Macaca mulatta: one gene and its partners. Each later gene encodes a partner of the first gene's protein in a complex. Links are inferred from orthologs where the notes say so. Each region holds a gene or a part of one and is shown in the gene's direction. Other genes may lie near its edges.

Evidence for each region. The genes of interacting proteins can lie anywhere in the genome.
Region 2: the proteins of LCK (region 1) and CD8A are in contact, whole or in part, in an NMR structure (PDB 1Q69), measured with the Homo sapiens proteins. The link is inferred for Macaca mulatta from reciprocal best matches to the Homo sapiens genes LCK and CD8A. Residues at the interface, in NP_001036236.1 of Homo sapiens: Cys20, Asn22, Cys23, Tyr25, Pro26, Ile27, Val28; in NP_001139345.1 of Homo sapiens: Arg212, Arg213, Val214, Cys215, Lys216, Cys217.
Region 3: the proteins of LCK (region 1) and CD4 are in contact, whole or in part, in an NMR structure (PDB 1Q68), measured with the Homo sapiens proteins. The link is inferred for Macaca mulatta from reciprocal best matches to the Homo sapiens genes LCK and CD4. Residues at the interface, in NP_001036236.1 of Homo sapiens: Glu15, Ile17, Val19, Cys20, Asn22, Cys23, Tyr25, Pro26, Ile27, Val28; in NP_000607.1 of Homo sapiens: Ala429, Arg431, Ile435, Leu438, Leu439, Lys443, Thr444, Cys445, Gln446, Cys447.

Annotation. Positions count from the first base shown.
Region 1 is NC_133406.1:208,598,305-208,602,097, reverse strand, and holds part of LCK (tyrosine-protein kinase Lck), read left to right. Parts: intron 1-523; coding exon 524-600; intron 601-691; coding exon 692-845; intron 846-929; coding exon 930-1,061; intron 1,062-3,793. UniProt on the Homo sapiens protein: Non-receptor tyrosine-protein kinase that plays an essential role in the selection and maturation of developing T-cells in the thymus and in the function of mature T-cells. Plays a key role in T-cell antigen receptor (TCR)-linked signal transduction pathways.
Region 2 is NC_133418.1:26,243,564-26,247,356, forward strand, and holds part of CD8A (T-cell surface glycoprotein CD8 alpha chain), read left to right. Parts: intron 1-2,347; 5' UTR 2,348-2,440; coding exon 2,441-2,612; intron 2,613-2,700; coding exon 2,701-3,054; intron 3,055-3,632; coding exon 3,633-3,743; intron 3,744-3,793. UniProt on the Homo sapiens protein: Integral membrane glycoprotein that plays an essential role in the immune response and serves multiple functions in responses against both external and internal offenses. In T-cells, functions primarily as a coreceptor for MHC class I molecule:peptide complex.
Region 3 is NC_133416.1:7,776,459-7,780,251, forward strand, and holds part of CD4 (T-cell surface glycoprotein CD4), read left to right. Parts: intron 1-2,833; coding exon 2,834-2,992; exon of another isoform or gene 2,993-3,154; intron 3,155-3,449; coding exon 3,450-3,683; intron 3,684-3,793. UniProt on the Homo sapiens protein: Integral membrane glycoprotein that plays an essential role in the immune response and serves multiple functions in responses against both external and internal offenses.

The DNA of each region.
Region 1 (3,793 bases):
TGGGAGTGTAGATGATGATCCAGTTTATTATGCCTGCTAAGATCTAGAGAGGCTTCCTAGAGGGGCAGTCTAACTGGGCCATGAAAGAAAAGTAGAATTTTTTTTAGCAGGCAGAGATGAAATAAAGAGGCTTTGGGGTGACAGCCTAGTAGTCTGAGTGCAGGATCTCAAAATTGTTAAAGTGTTTGAAGTCAAAGGCAGAGTGAGGGAAAGAGAAGAAGCTACCAGTGTCGCCCATGTCAAGCTTTGGATACTAGTTGAGGAGTCTGAATTCTACCTTATTGATGATGAAAAACCTACAGATCCCTCCCAGCGTGCTCTACCCTAGCCCCTCCCTCTGCAAAAAAACCTTCACATATCCTGGGCATCCTTACCCTGAACACACACTCCTCCATTCTCACTCTTCACTCTTCCTTTTCACATGTCAGACACACTTCCAGACATGTGAAAAGGGTCTGGGAGAAGGGTCTGGGGACCTCCTCCTGGGGCAACTTAGGCCAGCAACTCTTGCTTCTGCCCACAGGGAGTCTAGTGGATTTTCTCAAGACCTCTTCAGGCATCAAGTTGACCATCAACAAACTCCTGGACATGGCAGCCCAAGTAAGAAGACTGGGGAGGGGCTGGGCAAGGGCACAGGCCAGTGGCGTGAAGACATCTGGCTCAGGATTGCTGATCTGTGTTTGTCCTGCAGATTGCAGAAGGCATGGCATTCATTGAAGAGCGGAATTATATTCATCGTGACCTTCGGGCTGCCAACATTCTGGTGTCTGACACCCTGAGCTGCAAGATTGCAGACTTTGGCCTAGCACGCCTCATTGAAGACAACGAGTACACAGCCAGGGAGGGTAAGTGTGAGATTTAAGGGTGATCTGGGCCCTGCAGGGTCTAGCCAAGCAGACCCAGGTGACCTCACTCTGCCTCCTCCTTAGGAGCCAAGTTTCCCATTAAGTGGACAGCGCCAGAAGCCATTAACTATGGGACATTCACCATCAAGTCGGATGTGTGGTCTTTTGGGATCCTGCTGACGGAAATTGTCACCCATGGCCGCATCCCTTACCCAGGTTAGAGCCAAGGGCAGGAACTGAAAGGGTGATGGGAAGGGCAGCAAGTCCATGTCTCCCCACTCAATTCTTTCCAGTCTCAGAATCTGAAACTTTGTAGTTGCATCTCCTCTATCCTTTCAGGGGTATGACTCCAACATCCCAAGGCAGATGCCACATCTCCCAGAGCTGGCTTCCATCTCTGTATCTCTCTTTAATAACCCCAGCTCTTTTCTTTTTCTCTTTTTTTGAGGTGGAGTCTAGCTCTGTCGCCCAGGTTGGAGTGCAGTGGCGCCATCTCGGATCACTGCAACCTCTGCCTCCTGGGTTCAAGCAATTCTCCTGCCTCAGCCTCCCAAATAGCTAGGATTACAGGTGCGTGCCACCATGCCCGGCTAGTTTTTTGTATTTTTAGTAGAGACGGGGTTTCACCATGTTAGCCAGGATGGTCTCAATCTCCTGACCTCGTGATCCACCCGCCTCGGCCTCCCAAAGTGCTGCGATTACAGGCATGAGCCACCGCGCCCGGCCCCAGCTCTTTTCTTTAGTTGTGGCCCAGGCAGCCTAGTATGGTAGAAGAGGATCTAGCTCAGAAACAAGAGGCCTACCTTTTATTAGCAGATCTGCCACTGTTGCTAACTTTCTGTTTGGCTTTGTTCAGATCATTCCTTCTTTCCCATCTGTTCTCATTTCTAATATGAGATTAGAACAGTGCTTGGTCAATACTAAGCTATTATCAATCATCACTTTGAACTAGTCACTTCACTTCTCTGAGTCTCAGTTTCCTGATATTAAAAATAAGAGACTAGGCCAGGTACAGTGGCTCATGCCTATAATCCCAGAACTTTGGGAGACCAAGGTGGGAGGATGGCTTGAGCCCAGAAGTTCGAGACCAGCCTGGGCAACAGGTCGAAACCCCATCTCTACAAAAACAAAAATTAGCCAGGTTTGGTGGCATGTGCCTGTAGTCCCAGCTACTCAGAAGGCTGAGGTGGGAGGATTACCTGAGCCAGGGAGGGAGAGGTTGCAGTGAGCCAAGATCATGCCATAGCACTCCAGCCTAGGGCAACAGACCAAGACCCTGCCTCAAAAAAAGAAAAAGAGAGACTCCATCTCTTCCCCCCCCCCAAAAAAAAAATTAAAAATTAGCTGGGCATGGTGGCACACACCTGTAGTTTCAGCTTTTTGGGAGGCTGAGGTGGGAGGATCGCTTGAGCCCAGGAGGTTGAGGGTGCAGTGAGCCATGATCGTTCTATTGCACTCCAGCCTGAGCAACAGAGAGAGAACTTGTCTCAAAAAAAAAAAAAAAAAAAAAAAAAGGAAAAATGAGAGACCATTTGTGAAAGAGCCTGACTCATAGTAGGTTGTCAGTATACACTGACTCCCTCACCATCTCCTGGACAAAGCCCTTTACCCCTGAATTCAGCCAAGACAGGGATGGAATTTTTTGAAAGGAACTTGCTAAGAAACTCTGGGGAGAGGAAATGGAGCACAAAGACAACGGAGTAGGGAGGCGCGGCACAGTGGCTAAATTTGTAGAAGCGTCCCACATCCCCAGAGTAAGGTGAACAGACCTTTGCTCCAAGGAAGGTAAAGACACCTTGGAAGGCCGGATGTGGTGGCTCACGCCTGTAATCCTAACACTTTGGGAGGCCGAGGCTGGTGGATCACAAGGTCAGGTGTTTGAGACCAGCCTGACCAACATGGTGAAATCCCATCTCTACTTAAAAAAAACAAAATTAAAAATTAGCCAGGCCTGGTGGTGCGTACCGGTAATCCCAGATACTCAGGCGGCTGAGGCAGGAGAATTGCTTGAACCTGGGAGGCAGAGGTTGCAGTGAGCCGAGGTCGTGCCACTGCACTCCAGCCTGGGCGACAAAGCGAGACTCCGTCTCAAAACAAAAACAAAAACAAAAAAACACCTTGGAGACAGGTGAAAAGCTGAGGGGCTTCCCTGCCCTGGGCTTGCCCCAACCCAGAGTCCAGGGGTAGTGCTGGAGCTGGAAATATGGAAATACTCTCCAGTTATCCTGCCAGGGGTCCTCACTGCTCCTCGCCTATTCCCACAGAAGGAAACCCATAGGGAATGTATCTATTAGAAGAAAATAGGCAGTGAAAGCATGATGATAAATGGAAACTGACATGTAGCATTAGGGTCAGGGAGACAATGGGGAGAAATGGGGACCTTGGTAAACTTGCAGCTGCTCCAGCAGATGGTTGCAATTAAGGCGTGGGGGACCTGAAAAACTAGATCTTTTTTTTTTTTTAAGAGAAGCCAAAACTTGGAGTTTTAGGAAAATTTGTTCATTTCCATTTATTGGCGATCGAGTCAAATTGTTTAAAAGCACTCTAGGGGCTGGGCACGGTGACTCATGCCTGTAATCCCAGCACTTTGGGAAGCTGAGGTGGGCAGATCACAAGGTCAGGAGTTCGAGACCAGCCTGGCCAACATGGTGAAACCCCACCTCTGCTAAAAATACAAAAATATTAGCCAGGCGTAGTGGTGGGACCTGCAGTCCCAGCCACTAAGGAGGCTGAGACAGGAGAATCACTTGAACCCTGGAGGCAGAGGTTGCAGTGAGCCATGATCATGCCATTGCACTCCAGCCTGCGCGACAGAGTGAGAGTCCATCCCAAAAATAAATATAAATAAATTAAATAAATTAATTAAATGAATAAATAAACAAAACCATTCTAGGGCCAATCCAAAGTGGATCTGTGGGCCATACTCTGGCTGGATTTAACCTGTGGGC
Region 2 (3,793 bases), on another chromosome or scaffold:
GGTGTTTTCTTTCCCAGCTACCTCATCTTCCATCTGAAAAAGCTGCAGGTACTGGTGCAAGCCCTCAGTGATACAGATACATTATATCTACTACAGCCTTGCTAGTGTTGCAATAATGAGAAATTGCCTAAATGTCCACTAACAGCAGAATTACATTATGGAACACCCACATAAAATGCCCCCATTTATAAGAATGAGGTGGATCTACATCTGCTGAAAGCTCTCCTTCCACTGTGAAACAAGATATCTTGCAAAAATACATATCTTATACAATCCCACGTGTCTAAGATGATGTATAAACATCTGTTTAGGTACAGATAATATCTGAGGGACACATTCAACCGTAACAGTGGTTTTCTGTGGGGAGCAGATGACAGTGATGGGAGTTGAGACAGGGGACTTTGTGTTTGTTTTTGTACAATAATATATTGCGCTGTTGTCACTTAAAAGACATTTTTTTAAATTTCAGAATATAAAACGTTACATGTTCCATGTTAGAATAAGCATCTTGGATGCTTTGAGGGAGCTGGAAGGAGGTACTGAAATCCAAATAATTAAAAAAAGAAAAAAAAGCCCATCCAGGCCCCGATATGGTGGCTCACACCTGTAATCTCAACACTTTGGAGGCCAAGGCGGGGCAGAGTACTTGACCTCAGGTATTGGAGACCAGCCTGGGCAACATGGTGAAACCCCATCTCTACCAAAAATGCAAAAACTCAGCCCGGCATGGCGGTGCGCTCCTGTGGTCCCAGCTACTTGGGAGGCTGAGGTGGAAGGATCACTCGAGCCTGGGAGGTAGAGGCTGCAGTGAGCCGAGATCGTGCCACTGCACTCCAGCCTGGGCAACAAAGCCAGACTCCATCTCAAAAAAACAACCAACCAACAGCAACAACAACAACAACAGAAAACCATCCAACACTTAAGTTTGGGCCTCACAAGGATAAGGAGAGTGTAGTTCAACAAGCACAGCTCAGCCCATGCTGTGTTTCTGGGGATGGAGGACACATCATGAAGTCTGGGGCATGGTCCTCACCCAGCAGAACTCATAGGTGGGGCAGACAGACATTTGGAACACAGAATGCCAGGTGTCTTGTCTCTAGGATCAAGCAGTAGTAATGTGAGGTGCAGCCACAGTGGGATTCAAAGTGGAAAGATTCAGAAGCCCGGAAGAAATGGGAAGAGGGCATGCCACTGGGGTTAGAAGGTTTCAGGACAGAAACAGGCAAAAAGGAAGGATGAGCCTGTAGTCGCAGCTACTCAGGAGGCTGGGGCAGGAGGATCACTGGAGCCCAGGAGTCCCAAGGCCAGCCTGAGTAAAACAGCGAGACTCCAGTCTTTAAAAAAAGAAAGAAAGAAAGAAAGAAACAGAAAGGAAGGGGACACATGTGTGCTAGGGACAGAAGAGAGAAAACTGCCTCTACCCAAGCATTCACCCACGTCACCCACACCTCCCCGCCGAGCGCCCAGAGCTGGGGGTGAAAGAAATGAGGTCCAAATGAGACTGCACAGGAGCTGCCTCCAGGGCTTTCACAGACCAGCATTCCAGGCAGATCTACAGCAAGTGCAAGGGCGTGAAAGCACAGAGCGCAGGGGTTGAATAACCTCAAGCCTGTGAAGCTGCAGCTGCAGCTGCAGGTGTTTGGGAAAGGCAGGGCAGGGGGCTGTGCGGAGGCTGGGAGGAGCCAGCACCCAAGGGCTGGTCAACCAAGCTGAGGGTTGAGTTTCCATCCAGCAATGCAGGCCATGGGAGGCTGCAGGAGTGACGCTGTTAGATCCCCTTTATGAGAATAATAATTTTTATAACAACGTGGCTGGAGGACTGGTCAGGAGAGAGACTAGTGTGGGGGCTGTTGCAAAGACTCCAAGAAGAGATGCGACTGTTTGGTGAGTTTAGCCGCTGGATGAAAGGCCGGAAGGATGAGGTCAGCAGCGCACTGACACTGCCACCCAAAGCTTCGGCTGCTGCCGCCCTCATGGAAATTTCCTGGGGGAAGGGAGAGGGCCCTTCCTCGGTGAACACTGGGGCTGCTCTGCGCGAGTTCCTGAGAAGCGGGCAGGTGGCTAGCTCCTCTTCCTTTTCAGCCCTCAGTGCCCATTTTGCCAACAAAAAGGGTGACAGTATAAGAGACGCCTTTAGTGAAGGCAAAGGAAGGGACACTCCCCTCCTTTCCTGCCGACTCTCGCCCTCACTTCTTGAAATCTTTGATCTCCCTTCACCCACTCTGTCACTCTCCTAACACAACCATTTCCAGGGACTATTTCCAAGCCCTTTTCCTCATCCCCGAACCTGCAGTTTTCAGCTGCCCCCAGTTGCCTGACCAGGCTGCCTCGACGGGCCCATTCACAGGCCCCAGCCTCCTCACCGGGCTGGAAGGCGACAACCGCGAAAAGGAGGGTGACTTTCCTCGGCGGGGGCTTCGGGTGACATCACATCCTCCAAATGCGAAATCAGGCTCCAGGCCGGCCGAAGGGCGCAACTTCCCCCCCTCCGCTCCCCACCGGCTCCCGCGCGCCTCCCGTGGCGCCCGAGCTTCGAGCCGAGCCGCGTCCTGGGGAGCGCGTCATGGCCCCACCCGTGACCGCCTTGCTCCTGCCGCTGGTCTTGCTGCTCCGTGAGTTTGCGACCCCCGGAAAGGCAGGGGATGGGGCGGGCGGGGGGCGCGGGACTCGGGGCTCAGCCTCGCTTCCTGCTGCCTGCAGACGCCGCCAGGCCAAACCAGTTCCGAGTGTCGCCGCTGGGTCGGACCTGGAACCTGGGAGAGACGGTGGAGCTGAAGTGCCAGGTGCTGCTGTCCAACCCGACGTCGGGCTGCTCGTGGCTCTTCCAGCCGCGCGGCACCGCCGCCCGCCCCACCTTCCTCCTATACCTCTCCCAAAACAAGCCCAAGGCGGCGGAGGGGCTGGACACCCAGCGGTTCTCGGGCAAGAGGTTGGGGGACACCTTCGTCCTCACCCTACGTGACTTCCGCCAAGAGAACGAGGGCTACTATTTCTGCTCGGCCCTGAGCAACTCCATCATGTACTTCAGCCACTTCGTGCCGGTCTTCCTGCCAGGTCCGGGCGCGGGGTGCGGCACCTCTCCGCGTGGGGCTTGGGGTTCACCTCAACCTGTTTTCCACACACAGGTCCTGCTTTCAAGCCTCTTAGGGCACCTGGAAGAGACTTAGATATTGTTCCCATTTCACAGACACAGCAAACTGAGGCTAACGTGCGGCTGAGTAGGGACTAGGAATAGTGTTTTACGTCCGGCCGATCTGGGCTCGAGTTCGGATGCTTGTGTGGTTTTGGGCAAATGACTTAAATTCTCTACGCCTCCGTTTGTTCGTGGGTAAAATGCGGACAGCAATCAACCCGCGCTCCAGGGTTGCTGGTTGCCCGGGAGAGAGGACAGGTGCAGGGGAGCGGGCTCCTACGCTCGGGCCGGGCGCCGCGTGCGCTTGGCTAAGCCAAGGCCCGAGCACAGGGGTCCGCGCGCATTCCGGGGTACCCATCCCGTCTCCTCTGCCATCCCTTCTCCCAGGAAAACCGGGGGGAGGTGTTCCCGTGGGCAAAGGCGCGCGAGGCTGGGGCCGGGGCGGGGGCGCGTCCATAATCCCAGACTGGCCCCCAACCACGCTCTGTTGCCCCTGCAGCGAAGCCCACCACTACGCCAGCGCCGCGACCCCCCACACCGGCGCCCACCACCGCGTCGCAGCCCCTGTCCCTGCGCCCAGAGGCGTGCCGGCCAGCGGCGGGGGGCTCAGGTGAGGCGTGCGGGGGCTCGGGGCGGGGGCGGCACGGACCGCGGGGAGAG
Region 3 (3,793 bases), on another chromosome or scaffold:
TGTTTGCTATGTAAATTTAGATTCTAAAGCCCTGTTCTATAGAGATTCTGGAGCTGCCACCGCACCCAGAAAACGGACAGCTAAAGAGAAAACTTCCCTTGGTGATGGGTATTAGATTTTACAAGAAGAGGCCAAAGGAGACACATACTTATGCCTGAAGAACTTTCCAGAGATAGCATTGCATAGTGAAACAGCCTGAATTATTTTTATTTTTAAAAACATTTTTTATTTTTATTTTTTTCTGAGGTAGAGTCTCACTCTGTCACCCAGGCTGGAGTGCAGTGGCGTGATCTCGGCTCACTGCAATCTCCGCCTCCCGGGTTCAAGCAACTCTCCTGCCTCAGCCTCCCAAGTAGCTGGGATTACAGGCATGCGTCACCATGTGCCAGCTAATTTTTTTTTTTCTAGTTTTAGTAGAGATGGGGTTTCACCATGTTGGCCAGGCTGGTCTTGAACTCGTCACCGCAAGTGATCCACTGCCTTGGCCCCCCAAAGTGCTGGGATTTCAGGCATGAGCCACTGCACCCGGCCAAAAATTTATTTTCTTTAAGATGAGGCCTCTGTTGCCCAGGCTGGAGTGCAGTGTCACAATCATAGCTCACTGTGACTTTGGACTCCTGGGCTCAAGCAATCCTCCTGCCTCAGCCTCTCAAGTAGCTGGGATTACAGGCACCCACTCCCAGCTAATTCTTTTAAAATAATTGTTTTTAGAGATGAGGGTGTCTATTTGCTGCCCAGGTTGGTCCCAGACTCCTGACAGGCTGCATTTTAATCCTAGCTCCACCACTTAGGGGAGTCAAAATTCAAAACGCAGAAAAGGGCATATACGCTGGGCGCAGGGGCTTACACCTGCAATCCCAGCAATTTGGGAGACTGAGGTGGGCGGGTTGCTTGAGGTCAGGAGTTCGAGACCAGCCTGGGCAATGTGGGAAAACTTGTCTCTGCTAAAAATACAAAAATTAGCCAGATGTGGTAGTGCACACCTGTAATCCCAGCTACTCCGAAGGTTGAGGCAGGAGAATCCCTTGAACTCAGGAGGCAGAGGTTACAGTGAGCAGAGATCCAACACTCAACTCCATAAAAACAAACAAACAAACAAAAAGAAAGCAGGCTGGGTGTGGTGGCTCACTAATCCCAGCACTTTGGGAGGCCAAGGTGAGCGGATCACCTGAGGTTGAGCATTCGAGACCAGCCTGACCAACAAGGAGAAACTCTGTCTCTACTAAAAATACAAAATTAGCTGGGCTTGGTTGCACATGCCTGTAATCCCAGCTACTCGGGAGACAGAAGCAGGAGAAGTGCTTGAACCTGGGAGGCGGAGGTTGCAGTGAGCCAAGATCGTGCCATTGCACTCCAGCTTGGGCAACAAGAGCGAAACTCCATCTCAAAAAAAAAAAAAAAAAAAAAGCAAAGGGCATATAGTGAAAAGCTTTCTTCCTACACATGAGTATTCACTTCCTCTTCCTAGAGGCAACCAAGGTTATCTGTGTGTGTGTGTGTGTGTGTGTGTGTGTGTGTGTGTGTGTGTGTGTGTTTTGAGACAGTCTCACTCTGTCACCCAGGCTGGAGTGCATTGGTTCGATCTCACTGCAAACTCTGCCTCCCAGTCTCAAGCGATGCTTGTGCCTCAGCCTCCCAGTTTTTTTTTTTCTTTTTTTTTCTTTTTAAACAGGGTGTCATTCTGTCGCCCAGGGTGGAGTGCAGTGGCACGATCATAGCTCACTGCAGCCTCGACCTCCCGGGTCAGGTGATCCTCCCACCTCAGCCTCCGGTGTAGCTGGGGCTACTGGTATGCACCACCACACCCAGTTAATTTTTCTTAGTCTCGTTCTGTCACCCAGACTGGAGTGCATTGGTGCCATCTCATTTGTTTCACAGCAACCTTTGACTTCTGGGCTCAAGCGATCCTCCCACCTCAGCCTCCTAAGGCGGCTAATTAAAAAAAATTTTTTTTTTTAGAGATGGGGTTTCGCCATGTTGCCCAGGCGGATCTCGAACTCCTGGGCTCAAACAATCCTTCCACCTCGATCTTTCAAAGAGCTGGGATGAGAGATTTCCACCATGCCTGGCCTCAGTTTCTTTCTTTTTTAATTTTTTTTTAGACGTTATAACTCTTTTTAATGGCCTCATTTTGTTATGTTTAATTCGAGAAATATTCTTTTCATATACAAAGAATATATTTTCTCTCCCTTTAAAAACAAATAGTAGACTGTTTAATACCTTGCTTTATTCAGTTAGTGATGTTTCTTAGATACGGTTCCAAATCAGTATACAAAGCACTTCCTCTTCCTCTCTTCCGGCTACATAGCAATCCACTGAATGGGTGAGCTATGAGCTATTTAACCTATTCTTTATTGATGGACATTTCGCTTTGTATATACATTTGTAATTCTGATATATAGTACAAATCACCCTCCAAAGAAATTGTACTGGTTTCTTCTCCTACAATGTGTGAGAGTTGGGTAATTACTTAATCTCAGTGTGTGAGTCTCAGTTTCTCTATCTATAAAATAAGCAAAACAGTGTTGACAATATCTATTTCTTGGAATTATTGTGGAGATTACTGAGATGATGCATGTAAAGTATTTGGCATGTAGGAGTTGGTGCTCTCCAAATAAGGATATGATTTTATTTGTATTTGTGAGCCACTGTCCCAGCCAGGTAAATGGATATGATGAGACCTCCTTACCAGACTGGGTTTCTCTGATTAGAATGAGGAGCAGATGTTGCAGGAAATTAGCAATTGAGATCAGAAGAGCTGTGGGCATTCTCTTGCCAGAGGTGCCATGTCTCCAAGGCACCTCAGCCTCTCCCATTTGTCTTCTGCTCCCAGGTCCATCCAAGCTGAGCGATCGTGCTGACTCAAGAAAAAGCCTTTGGGACCAAGGATGCTTTTCCATGATCATCAAGAATCTTAAGATAGAAGACTCAGATACTTACATCTGTGAAGTGGAGAACAAGAAGGAGGAGGTGGAATTGCTGGTGTTCGGATGTGAGTGGGGCAGGTGGGGACGAGGATACCTCCTGGCTGGTTCTCTTCCCCACTACTCCCACCCCTGCACCAAATCCAGCCTGAGCTGGTGATACCGCAGCAGCCCCAAGAGGACCAGGCTGTCAAACTGGCCTCCGAACTCTTCAAAGCCCTTTTGATTAGGTGGAGGATGGTGGTGGGCGGAGGAGGGAAGAGGCCTTGGGAAAAGGAAAGAAAAGGGAAGGAAGCAAGGGAAGGAGAGAGAGAGACTGGGGAAGAGAGGATGAGGGGAGAGGAGGAAAGAAGAGAGAGAGGAGGGGAGAGGGAAACCCTGTCTTGGCTGGGGGTGGGCAGCTGGGTGCTGGGAGGAAGGAGATGTTGGGATGGAGATAATGGAGAGATGTTCTTGGTTTCCTGTCCTCTGCCCTTCTCCTTGGGGATGGTATGTGTGTGACACAGCTGGCCTTTCCCTCCACAGTGACTGCCAACTCTGACACCCACCTGCTTGAGGGGCAAAGCCTGACCCTGACCTTGGAGAGCCCCCCTGGTAGTAGCCCCTCAGTGAAATGTAGGAGTCCAGGGGGTAAAAACATACAGGGGGGGAGGACCCTCTCTGTGCCTCAGCTGGAGCGCCAGGATAGTGGCACCTGGACATGCACCGTCTCGCAGGACCAGAAGACGGTGGAGTTCAAAATAGACATCGTGGTGCTAGGTAAGGGAAGCCCCTCTGCCCGCAGTCTCCTCCCTGCCCCGGAGGCTGACAGCCCCTCCCTCTGCTCTCACTTCCCTGCTTCTGGGTCTGGTGCTGGGAGGTCAGGAGTG